Linked DNA regions of Sus scrofa. The protein of the gene in region 2 purifies or fractionates together with the protein of the main gene of each other region. This does not show direct contact. Links are inferred from orthologs where the notes say so. Each region holds a gene or a part of one and is shown on either strand. Other genes may lie near its edges.

What was found.
Region 1: the proteins of CCNB2 (region 2) and PKMYT1 purify together in Homo sapiens (affinity purification with mass spectrometry; 4 studies listed by BioGRID and IntAct, with this or other methods). This does not show direct contact. The link is inferred for Sus scrofa from reciprocal best matches to the Homo sapiens genes CCNB2 and PKMYT1.
Region 3: the proteins of CCNB2 (region 2) and CDKN1B purify together in Homo sapiens (affinity purification with mass spectrometry; 3 studies listed by BioGRID and IntAct, with this or other methods). This does not show direct contact. The link is inferred for Sus scrofa from reciprocal best matches to the Homo sapiens genes CCNB2 and CDKN1B.

Annotation. Positions count from the first base shown.
Region 1 is NC_010445.4:39,200,747-39,204,853, reverse strand, and holds the start of PKMYT1 (membrane-associated tyrosine- and threonine-specific cdc2-inhibitory kinase), read right to left. Parts: upstream 2,807-4,107; intron 2,498-2,806; coding exon of another isoform or gene 2,478-2,497; intron 2,404-2,477; 5' UTR 2,179-2,403; coding exon 2,160-2,178; exon of another isoform or gene 1,974-2,159; intron 1-1,973. Other genes in the region: uncharacterized protein LOC110260113, read left to right, coding at 2,478-2,497, 2,807-3,349, 3,617-3,887. UniProt on the Homo sapiens protein: Acts as a negative regulator of entry into mitosis (G2 to M transition) by phosphorylation of the CDK1 kinase specifically when CDK1 is complexed to cyclins. Mediates phosphorylation of CDK1 predominantly on 'Thr-14'. Also involved in Golgi fragmentation.
Region 2 is NC_010443.5:112,935,560-112,939,073, forward strand, and holds part of CCNB2 (G2/mitotic-specific cyclin-B2), read right to left. Parts: intron 3,449-3,514; coding exon 3,320-3,448; intron 3,215-3,319; coding exon 3,101-3,214; intron 1-3,100. UniProt on the Homo sapiens protein: Essential for the control of the cell cycle at the G2/M (mitosis) transition.
Region 3 is NC_010447.5:59,733,019-59,737,266, reverse strand, and holds the start of CDKN1B (cyclin-dependent kinase inhibitor 1B), read left to right. Parts: upstream 1-1,435; 5' UTR 1,436-1,477; coding exon 1,478-1,952; intron 1,953-2,498; coding exon 2,499-2,620; 3' UTR 2,621-2,628; intron 2,629-4,248. UniProt on the Homo sapiens protein: Important regulator of cell cycle progression. Inhibits the kinase activity of CDK2 bound to cyclin A, but has little inhibitory activity on CDK2 bound to SPDYA. Involved in G1 arrest. Potent inhibitor of cyclin E- and cyclin A-CDK2 complexes.

The DNA.
Region 1 (4,107 bases), on a different chromosome or scaffold from region 2:
ACGCAGCTCCAGTGGGCTGGCAATCCTGAAGCCCCACGGCTCAAGTCTCAGCTCATTCCTAGGGAGAAGGTTCCACCCTGGGCGAGGCAAGCCAGGCAGGCCAGGGGCTACTGCCTCCACTCCGAGGCACCACTGTCCCTGCCCCCCGCTCCAGAACTCTGGCTTGGGGATCCTGCCCAGGGAAGAGGTCATAAAACAGAGAGCTCCAAAGTTCTCCCTGCAAAACACTGACTTGATGAGAAGCAGAGTGTGAAAAGTTCAAGCCTGAAGGCACTCTCAGGAGTTCCCATCGTGGCGCAATGGTTGACAAATCTGACTGGGAGCCATGAGGTTGCAAGTTCGATCCCTGGCCTTGTTCAGTGGGTTAAGGATCCGGCATTGCTGGGAGCTGTGGTGTAGGTCACAGATGTGGGTGGCTCGGATCCCACATGTCTGTGGCTGTGGTGTAGGCCGGCGGCTGTATCTCCGACTTGACCCCTAGTCTGGGAACTTCCATAAGCTGCGGGTGCTGCCCTAAAAAAAAGATTAGGAGTTCCCGTCGTGGTGCAGTGGTTAACGAATCCGACTAGGAACCATGAGGTTGCTGGTTCGATCCCTGCCCTTGCTCAGTGGGTTAACGATCCGGCGTTGCTGTGAGCTGTGGTGTAGGTTGCAGACTTGGCTTGGATCCCACGTTGCTGTGGCTCTGGCGTAGGCCGGTGGCTACAGCTCCGATTCAACCCCTAGCCTGGGAACCTCCATATGCCGCGGGAGCGGCCCAAGAAATAGCAACAACAACAACAACAACAACAACAAAAAAAAGACAAAAGACAAAAAAGACAAAAAAAAAAAAAAAAAGATTAAAAAAAAGGTAAAAAAAGAGAACAGATATCCGCAGATAAACAAAAACAGAAAAAATTCATTGCTAGCAGACCTGTTTTATAAGGAACACTAAAGGAAGCCCTTCAGACTGAAAGCCTGTGATCCCAAAGAGTAAGTCAAATCTACGTGAAAAAGAAAGAGCACCAGTAAAGTTAATCATGTAATATAGAAGACAGTATAGGAGTTCCCGACGTGGCGCAGAGGAAACGAACCCGCCTAGGAATGATGAAGTTGCATGTTCGATCCCTGGCCTTGCTCAGTGGGTTAAGAATCTGGCGTTGCTGTGAGCTGTGGTGTAGGTTGCAGACACGGCTCGGATTTGGCAGTGCTGTGGCGTGGTGTAGGCCTGGGGCTACCTCTCCGATTCGACCCCTAGCCTGGAAACATCTATATGCCGCGGGTGCAGCCCTAAAAAGACATAAAATATAAAATAAAATCAGAGACACTTTGAATTCCAAAACACACCTGGCCTCAGGGATTTGTGGACTTATAATGCCGACTTCATGGAAGGCTTAGTGTAGCGCCTGGCATGCAGACCCCTCAATAACTGTTACATAAAGCTCTGAGCAGTAATTGAAAGAACACACAAAATACAGTGGTCCATGGGTATAAGCAACTCTGTGTTGGGGCAGAGCGGGCTACTGTGTTTCTATAATGTCATAATTGAAAGAAAAACAAGAGGGGGAAAAAATGCGAGAGGAGTCCAATTTTGAGAGGAAGCCACAGTGTATCAAAAGATTCCATACCCTGGAGTTCCAGCCCTGACTCAGTGGTTAATGAATCTGACTAGGAACCATGAGGTTGCAGGTTCGATCCCTGCCCTTGCTCAGTGGGTTAAGAATCCGGTGTTGCTGTGAGCTGTGGTGTAGGTTGCAGACACGGCTCGGATCCTGCGTTGCTGTGGCTCTGGCGTAGGCCGGCGGCTATGGCTCCAATTCCACCCCTAGCCTGGGAACCTCCATATGCCGCGGGAGCAGCCCAAGAAATGGCAATAAAGACAAAAAAAAAAAAAAAAAAAAGATTCCATAACCAGCAGGGGGGTAAGTGCTGGGGAGAGTGAGAGGGGGAGGCAGGGGACCCCCCCCCCATAGAGGTCTGCATTTAAGACTCACCCTACAGCCTGTGGGGACCCTTGCTCTGCCATCCCAGAGTTTCTCAAAGTGAAGGATCAGGGTGTCAGGATCTCCTAGGGTGCTGGTTAGGCGTAGACTCCAGGCCCAGACGTAGGACATTTGGGGACCTTGGGCACCCGCATCTTAAACCAATTCTCAAAACATCGCAATGTCACTGTCACTTACGTTCTAGCACCCCTGGCATGGCCAAACAGCTTTGGGGGTGGGACAGGGGAGGTAGAAGGAGCAGGGGCTCCGGGTGAATCCAGGGTGGTCCTGAGCGGAGGCCAGGCCGCGACGACCTCTGCAGCTTTCAGGGGCCTCACCCTCTCACTGGGCTGGACACATCTGCTGAGCACGGTCCACTGCACTAGACTGTGAGTTCCTCCTGGGCAGGGCCACAGCTGAGTCACCTCCGTGGGCGCAAACCCTGGCCAACAGAGTGGAGCAGACCAGCTGTCAGGGGACAGGTCTGTGGGGGTTTTCCTGGAGAGGGACGACTCAATGGGGAGCAGTCGCTGGGGGCAAGGGGTCCCAAAAGAAAGGGGTCAGGGAAGCTGCAGAAGGAGTAGGACAAGAGCAGTCTGGGGGCAGGAGCCTCGAGAGAGGAAGTGGGTGGAGCCGCCCGGGGCAGGGTTGGGCCAGGGAGAGGTTAGCAGAGGGGCAGGGCAAGAAAGGGGAGGGGTGGGGCTGTCGGAGGGGGATGTGCAAGGGGGCGAGAGGGGGTTGAGACTGAGGCAGATCCGGGGAAGGGCTGTCAGGGGACAAGGGGATGCTGGCGAGGGAAGCAGAAGAGTGGGGAGAGCTGTTCCGCCCTGGAAATGTCAGGGCAGGGTATGGGCTCACCTGGGGCGGGTGGGCGGGGCGCAGCTCAGCGAGGTCCCGGATTCCGGTCTGCTGAGGGTGCGGGGATCCCCTGAGCGATCAGGCTGGCCGGGGTCTTCGGTGGACCGCTCCCCACACTGGCGGGGAGGACTCTCTGGACGGGGAACGGCCCGTGAACGCGCGCGGAGCCAGCTCGCGCCAAAAATTCCAAACCGGCCTCGAGGCCCCGCCCAGGAACGCCTCTTACCCCGCCGCCTCTCCGAGACAGCCTATCAGAGGAGCCCAATCTGCCGGGGCTCCGCCCCCAACGTCCGGGCGTGCGCGTCGCCGATCCCGCCCCGCCTGCTTCGCGGGGCTCTTGCGCAAGCGCGGAGCCACCTGGGCGCTGACTCCGAGCGGGGTTGGCTGCGCCGTGTGCCTGAGGGGCTGAGGCACCACGCGGAATCGGAACCTGCTCCTGGGGCCCTCCCGCCTGGTTCCCAGGACACCGAGGGACCTTCGGACACCGACAGAGCTCCACACCCCAGTCCCGGCACCCACGGCCCTCGCTGGTCTGCCTTAGTTTTCGCCTCTATAAAAGGAAGGGTCACTGCCTTTCGCCCGGGAGGGAGGTGTAGCCCCAAGAGGCGGTCACTAGGGGCCTGACAGGAAGTCCCCGCGGCCTCCGGGGCTCTTGCAGGTGGAGTCCCCTGGGCTCGCCGCTCCCTCCTCACGCCTGCAGTGCATGGCTCTGGGGATGCGGTGAGGGGTTGTCCCCCTGACATCCCCCCACCCGCGGAACGCTCAGCTTGGTGAACTAGAAAATTCTGCCTCTGCAGGAAGCCTCCCGGTTTCCAGGTCTCGGCCACCTCTGAGGGGGCCTTTTCGCATTCTTTGGATTTGAGACGTAAGCTCAGCGCAAACTCCCCTCAGCTCCTTCCTGGCCGAACGACCTTGGGGATGCACCGGGCCTTTCCGAGCTTCGGATTAACCTCCTCTCCGGTAAAAATGGAGCTGATGACGCTTACCTCAGGGAGCTGGAGGTTCAAGTGGGATGATCCGCTTAAAGTTCTTAGCAAGGGGCCTGCCAGAGCAAACGCTAATTCCTAACAGCTTCTTCCTTCACCAGAGAGAACCTTTTTATCCACATAACAGGATCAAGGGGGGGTCAGGCCACCCTCCCTAGAAAGCTCCCCATTTCATCACATTGCCTTTCCTGCTTTACTCTCACATTGCATTTATCTCTCTCTGGAATTCTATCCTCTTATCAGCTTTTGTTTTGTTTTGCTTTGTTTTTTAGGGCCGCGCCTGCAGCACATGGAAGTTCCCA
Region 2 (3,514 bases):
AGAATAACCACCATCAATATTTTACATGCAAATGCATACCTTTAAATCTGGTATTGCACTGCATTATATTGTTATAATCTGATTTTTCTACCATTGTAACATGCATTTTGACATCTTAAAATATTCTACTGAAACATGTCATTTATGGTTGCATAGTATTTCATTAAATGGATGTAACAGATCTCCTACTACAGAATAAGAAATACTCATTACAGCACTACTTAAAAGTCCCTGACTGCCCCACTGATCATTTTCTTAGGATAAATTTTAAAAACAGCCTTACTGGGTATAAAGAATAACCATTTGAAACACACTGCCAAGCCACCCTTCTGACATGTGGGAGCAATCACATTCAATCCGTCATAATGGCCAGGAGATCAAGGCCTGAAAAGCTGCTCTGGGTTTGGTATTTAGGAGGTCTTGAGAAACTTCCAAGGAAAGGCCTTTAGGAAGGTTGATCTTGAGTATTTAGTTCTAGAATCAAAGCTTTCTTCTTCCTGTCTCATCAACAGCAACATGCTTGCAATCACCGCCTCTAAGTAGCAGGTTTGCAAATCTGTTCCTCTCTGTTAGATTTTGCTGGCACATTGCCAACTGCATTTCCCAATGGCTATCTCTGTTACTTCAACAAATCTAAAGCTAAATGAGATGACTTCCACAAAGCTACCTCACTCTCTTGCATTACCTATATTTTATTAATTTATTCCCTAAACAGTTTCTTAAATACTCAAATGCTTAATTAAGGGTCTCTCTCCTCCACTCCAAGCAGAATATACAACGAATTCCTTCTCATTACAGGATGATGTCCCTGAGAGGAGTTCTGGATTATCCTAACACATCAGATGTTGTTTCTTAGCACTTATGTACATAGGGATACATGTGTGAGCACATAGGGATACATGTGTGAGCACCTAGGAGATCTGGGCTCATTCAAGACACCCATCAGCCCTTGCTTAGAAAACTGCAATACCTCCTAATTAATGTCCCTTCCATGGCCACCCCATACTGCTTTCACCACTTAGCCTCAAAACTTTCCACAGTTCCTTACTGCCTGATGGGATAAAATTCAAATTCTAAGGCCTTCAAATCCAGCTGCAACCGTCTTTCCAACGTTGTTTGTTTTTCTCACACAAACCTTCTGATCCAGTTTAGACTTGCTGACTCTTTGCCCAAAAGGACATAATTTATAGGCCTGTTCCCACTTTGGTGCCTTGATTCCTATTGCTGCTTTGTTTCCCTAAAAGTGCTCTTTCCTCTCAGCTTCTCTCCATCCTTAAAAATCCCACTTATTGGAGTTCCCACTGTGGCGCAACAGGTTAAGGACCCAGCATTGCCGCAGCTGTGGCATAGGCTGCAGCTGCAGATCAGATTCAATCCTTGATCTAGGAACTTCCATATGCCATGGGTGGGGCTAGAAAAAGAAAAAAAAAATTCACCTACTCAAGGAAGTTTCCCCAGACCACTCCATCCCTCAAGGTTCACTCCTCTCTTTAGATACAATTTACATTCAGTCATCCATTGCCTATGGGCACAAAGCATCATGCCCTAGGATTACATATTTAATTTTCAGGTATAGATGCCCCTTCTAGGTAAACCTCCTCAAGGTAAGATGTCTCTTTATCAGCCTTAACACAACTGTATGTGTCTAGTCAGTACTCAACATATTTTTTGAAAACATCCAATGTTTTATTTTGAAAAAATTCAAACATAAATATATAAATATTCTGAGCTAGAAAGAGGCAGTTATATTGTATTCTCAGCAACTATAACAGTACCTATTTCGTTGTAATTATATGAATGTATGTAATCTATGAATGAGAGCATGCATGAACTTGAATATGGTGGAAAGTGAATGGGGCAGTGGGTCCATTAGCATTCTAACTTCAATTGAGCTTAACCAATCAAAGTTTTTCAACAGAGAATTTTGGCATTACTTTGTGCCTACATGAGTGAAAATCTCAGAATTGTAAACCTCCACCATCTTCATGGGCAAGTTCATTCTTTTTCTTTTTTTTTGTCTTTTTGCCTTTTCTAGGGCTGCTCCTGCGGCATATGGAGGGTCCCAGGCTAGGGGTTGAATTGGAGCTGTAGCCGCCGGCCTACACTAGGGCCACAGCAACGCAGGATCCAAGCCGCATCTGCAACCTACACCACAGCTCACGGCAACGCCAGATGCTTAACTCACTGAGCAGGCCAGGGATCGAACCCGCAACCTCATGGTTCCTAGTCGGATTCGTTAACCACTGCGCCACGATGGGAACTCCAGCAAGTTCATTCTTAAACAGTAAATTATAATTATTTTTTTTGTCTTTTGGGGCCACACCCTCAGCATATGGAAGTTCCTGGGCTAGGGGTCTAATCAGAGCTACAGCTGCTGGCCTATACCACAACCATGACAACACAGATCCAAGCCACATCTGCGACCTATACCACAGCTCATGGCAATGACCGATCCTTAACCCACTGAGCAGGGCCAGGGACTGAACCCATGTCCTCATGGATACTAGTTGGGTTTGTTACTGCTGAGCCATGACAGGAACTCCTTTATAGTGAATTGTTTTGTTTTGTTTTGTCTTTTTGCCTTTTCTAGGGCCACTCCTGAGGCATATGGAGGTTCCCAGGCTAGGGGTCTAATCAGAGCTGTAGCCACCGGCCTACACCACAGCCACAGCAACATGGGATCTGAGCCGTGTCTGCGACCTGCACCACAGCTCACGGCAATGCCGGATCCTAAACCCACTGAGCAAGGCCAGGGATCAAACCTGCAACCTCATGGTTCCTAGTCGGATTCATTAACCATTGCGCCATGACGGGAACTCCTACAGTGAATTATTTTAATAAAACCTACTAAATTTTCCTCGGAGGTCACTAAATTTATTTGGTTGTTAAAGTAATTAACTGTTTAATTCAAAGTTACAACATTGCATTAAAGCACCATCACTCAAAAGATGTATATGTTCATTTTCTACACTGCTGTCTCAAAGTAGAGCCCTAACTATGAGTGTTCCTCAAAAGTTGCAGTGACCACAAAGTTACCCCCTGTAGTCTGGCCCCAAACAGGCTGCTTTGTTAGGTAAGTTTGTAAATTCAGAACTTCTACCTTTGGAGCCAACATTTCCATCTGTACTGGTTTCACAGAAGCAGTAGGTTTCAAGGGCTTGTTGGCATTTGTTGTTTTGCTGGGCGGGACAAGTACCTTGATGTTCTGAGCTTTCTAAAAGAAAAAAGAAATGTGAATAGGGCAAGACAGCCAGAGTTGCCCCTCAGTCTTCTACAGAATCAGCCCAGTGTGCACATGTACCGATCTCACAGCTGTTACCTTAGCTACCTGGGTGGCTCTGGTTGTAACTCGATTTCCAATTTCTTCTAAAACTGCCCTCCTGATAGTCACATGACTCTTAGGTTTAGAATTAAGTCCTATGTCAATATTCTCCAAATCAGTAGACACCTGGAAAAGGAAAAAAAAAGAAAAAAAAATTAAGGAAGAACTGAGATAATTTACAATATTTGCTAA
Region 3 (4,248 bases), on a different chromosome or scaffold from region 2:
GTGGGCTGGAGAAGTGAATCTGGTGGGAGAGAAAGGTGAAGGAAGGAAGGGGCTGTTGTATTTGGCGGCGGGACTCAGGTAGAGGAAACTGCTACAAGCCGGGAAAGAACTGAAAAATATAAAAGAGGAGACGAGTTCCCACACGCAGACCAAGTCAGTGGCCTTAACAGTGCTTGGGAAGCAAGAACCTGGGCCAGGGGTGTATCCTCGCTTTTTTAAACGAAATGTATCTGAGACAGCTACTAAGTTTATTAGGGACTTGGGAGACCAATAGAGTTTTTGATCTCGAAGCCCTTTTCTTGTTTTTATTGAGGGAGAGCTTGGGTTCAGAATACATTACAAATGCAGCATCTATTCCAGTCTACTTATAGAAAGACGTCCTCCTGGGCTTCCCCCCTAAGCCCCCTGCCTCCCCTAGAACAGCACAGACTTCTAGGTTAAGGGTGAGCTAACCACTGCTCACCCCCAGCTAAGGCACCCAGGCTCAGGGGCTCCCCGCCTCCCCCGCTGAGCGAGCGGTGGGGGCCCCCCCGGGAGAGAGCCCAGCTGGGGGCCGAGCGCCCAGCGGCGAGCCCAGCTGCCCGCCCCTACCCGCTCGGCGAGCGAGGGGAAAATAAGATCGCCCTCGGCGAGGAGAGGGAGGTCGGGGCTCCGGAGCGGAGCGCAGCGCAGGGACCAGAACCCGCCACCTCTCCGGCCAGGCCCCTCCCCGGCTCCCCGGCCTTTTGGCGAGTTTGTCTTATTTTTAATTTCTCCGAGGCCAGCCAGAGCAGGTTTGCTGGCAGCCCGGCACCTCCAGCAGTCACGCGACCAGTCGAGCTCCCGGCCGCGCGCTCGGCGGCGGCGCGCTCGGGAGGCGGGGAGGCGCAGCGGCGGCTCAGGGGCCACCTTAAGGCCCAGCTCGCCAGTCTCGGCTGGGCGGCTCCCGGCGCCGCGACCAATGATCTCCTCCTCTGTTTAAATAGACTTGCGGTGTCAATCATCTTCTTCTTCGTCAGCCTCCCTTCCACCGCCATATTGGGCAACTAAAAAAAGGGGGCTCGTCTTTTCGGGGTGTTTTTCTCCCCCTCCCCTGTCCCCACTTTCTCGCCGCTCCGCGACTCCGACGCCGGCAAGGTTTGGAGAGCCGCTCGGTCGGCGGGACCCGCGGGCTCGCAGCGGCGGGGACTCGGACTGGCTCTGCCCCCTCCTCTCTCCGCTGCGCTCCTCTCCCCTCCCCTCCCCGCCCTCCAGCTCGCCCGTACACTTGATCGGCGGAGACTCGGGGCTGCCTGGCCCGGGCTGCCCCTCGCCCCCTCCCCCAGCCCCAGCGCGCTCCTGACGCTCGGGCGCTTACTCGTCGGTGTTTGTTTCTCTTGGCTCGGAGGGCAGCCGCAGGGCTTATAAGAGGGGCTCGGGCTGGGTCGAGGCGTTTTGTTTTGTTCGGTTTTGTTTTGCGAGAGCGCGAGAGAGGCGGTCGCCGAGCCCCGGGAGGAAGATGTCAAACGTGAGAGTGTCTAACGGGAGCCCGAGCCTGGAGCGGATGGACGCCAGACAGGCGGAGTACCCCAAGCCCTCGGCCTGCCGAAACCTCTTCGGCCCGGTCAATCACGAAGAGTTAACCCGGGACTTGGAGAAGCACTGCAGAGACATGGAAGAGGCCAGCCAGCGCAAGTGGAATTTTGATTTTCAGAATCACAAGCCCCTGGAGGGCAAATACGAGTGGCAGGAGGTGGAAAAGGGCAGCTTGCCCGAGTTCTACTACAGACCCCCGCGGCCACCCAAAGGCGCCTGCAAGGTGCCGGCGCAGGAGGGCCAGGGTGTCAGCGGGACCCGCCAGGCGGTGCCTTTAATTGGGTCTCAGGCCAACTCAGAGGACACACATTTGGTAGACCAAAAGACTGATGCACCGGACAGCCAGACGGGGTTAGCGGAGCAGTGCACTGGGATAAGGAAGCGACCTGCCACAGACGGTAATGACCCTTTCGAATGCATGAAACGTCTGTTTGTCTGCCTCTCTCTGTTTGTCTGCCGTGCTGTTTTCCCTGCTTGAGGATCTTAAACCTCCGCTTTCTTTTCAGCGCATTCTGACTTAGCTCTTGGGGAACACACCTTCCTCATCTTAGGTTTTAAATGCTATTTGGCTAGCTGCTGGTCTGTTTATGACTTTTAAGTCTGAAGCATGAGACTGTGCTATCTGATAATTTCTCTAACTGAAAACATCGCGGCTCCTCCCCGCTAGCCAGCTGTAGGTATGTGACAACGTTGGGATGTTTATCAACCACCTCCCTCTTCGCTTTGGAGAGAGAGAGATTTGGGGCGTAGAATACACTTTCTGTTATGTGAAAACAACCTCATTTTGTGCCCTTAAAGGCCACTGGGAATGACGGATCCAGGATGGTGGGTGGAGGTGGTGGGTTTTTTGTCCCCTCAGTATCGAGCCAACTTGTGTCAGCCATTGTTTTTTCTAATAAAGATTATTTGTGTGTGTTCTTTTTAAAATTCCCTCCTGCCTTTAGATTCCTCTCCTCAAAACAAAAGAGCCAACAGAACAGAAGAAAATGTTTCAGACGGTTCCCCGAACTCGGCTTCAGTGGAGCAGACGCCCAAGAAGCCCGGCCTCAGAAGGCGTCAAACGTAAACTGCTCGGTGGGTTGATCACTGGAAGCAAATAAGTGACACCCGATTTGGGCTGAAGGAACTCATGGGTTTTCAAACACCAAGATACCCGATCTTAGTGGTGTCTGGCAGATTAGAGCTTGTGGGGTTTTGTTTGTATTTTATGAGGTCCAAAAAAAGGAGGAATGGGAAAGACTGGGCATCAGGGTGGGGGTACTATAATTCTTCCCAGTTTCTCTGTCCTGAGATCATTTTCCTTTGAAGCTCCCAATGATTAGAGCAAGTGTCCCAGGCAAATACTTGCAACCAAGGCCCTGTGGGTAGGAAGGTCAGTTCCCTGAGAGTCCCATCAAAACGGTGTTGGGAACAATAGGTTCTTTTTCCATCTGAACAAGAGCGGGGGTCTGCCTCCATCCCACTTCAGGAGAATTCATCTCCCAGAGGACCAAGCTGACTCTAACAGATTTTGAGCCATACATGGAAAAAAATGGCAAATAAATGATCCAGTTAAAACTTTGAGGGAAAAGTTAGGTACAAATGGCTCATATCTGGTTAATCACATGGTTAGAAATGTGAATAGAGAGGAGTGTGGCTTTCTTTTATCTATCGTTTTCACAAAGTGTCACTTGCCCTGTTTTCTGATCAGTGTGGGGGATGGAGAAGGAACCTGTGTATTTAAAAAAAACCAAAATGGAAGGCTCAAAAACGCTAAGGTTCCTATGGAATTTCTGATAACACTGAAGTTACAAAGCAGAAGTTAAGTAACTCTGCCAGAGTAAGCAATCCAGGAACACGTCAGCATGTGTATGCTAATCGTGCTATAACAGGATAATTTGGATATTTGTAGGGGAAATGGATAGTAGATACCAGGGCTGCCACTGGTTAGGGCTACCCCGAACAAGGCAAGTGGACATTTTTCCACCTACTAAAATCTGATCAATGTAAAAAACTAATTTGCATAATTCAGCCCCCCAGCTTTACATGGATTGGTTTCCATAATGATCAAACTACATATATTAGTTAATAGTTTGTACACTCCTTACAGACAATGACCGTGACCTCTTTTTTTTCCCCTCCACAAACACCCTCATAGCTTAGCATTTAAAGAGATCCTAAGAGATGTTGACATTAACTTTCAAAATCCTCATTTATAAAAATTTTAAAATAAAGAACAGGGATGAAGGTAGGGTTCAAGTTTGTTGTGTTTTTACATCAGTGTCACAGGTAGGACTTTATTACATACGTCTGATATCTTTCAGAGCTTATACAACACGGCACTATCGAACCCTACGTTATAGCTGTATATGAAGTGAAAAAAATTTCTGAGTCAACCTTAACACCTGTGGCTCTTGTTGGTTGGTGACTCGTGGCCTAGCTCATCAGATGAGCCACAGCAAATCAGACCTACTGGATTTTGATCTGGCCGCATTCTGACATACAGAGAGGCATTTGTTAGTAAATATTGCCAGTTCAGCGAATACAGGAAATAGTAGTAAGGACCTCTTCTCAAGCATTCATGTGTGTATACTCTTCATACGACTGAGAAACTAGTTTTTTTTTTGGGGGGGGTGAATAGAATTTTCTTTGGTGAGCTTTTCTATTTCCAGTTATTTTTCAAATTTAGAAAATTTTGCTACTCTTAAGTGTTAA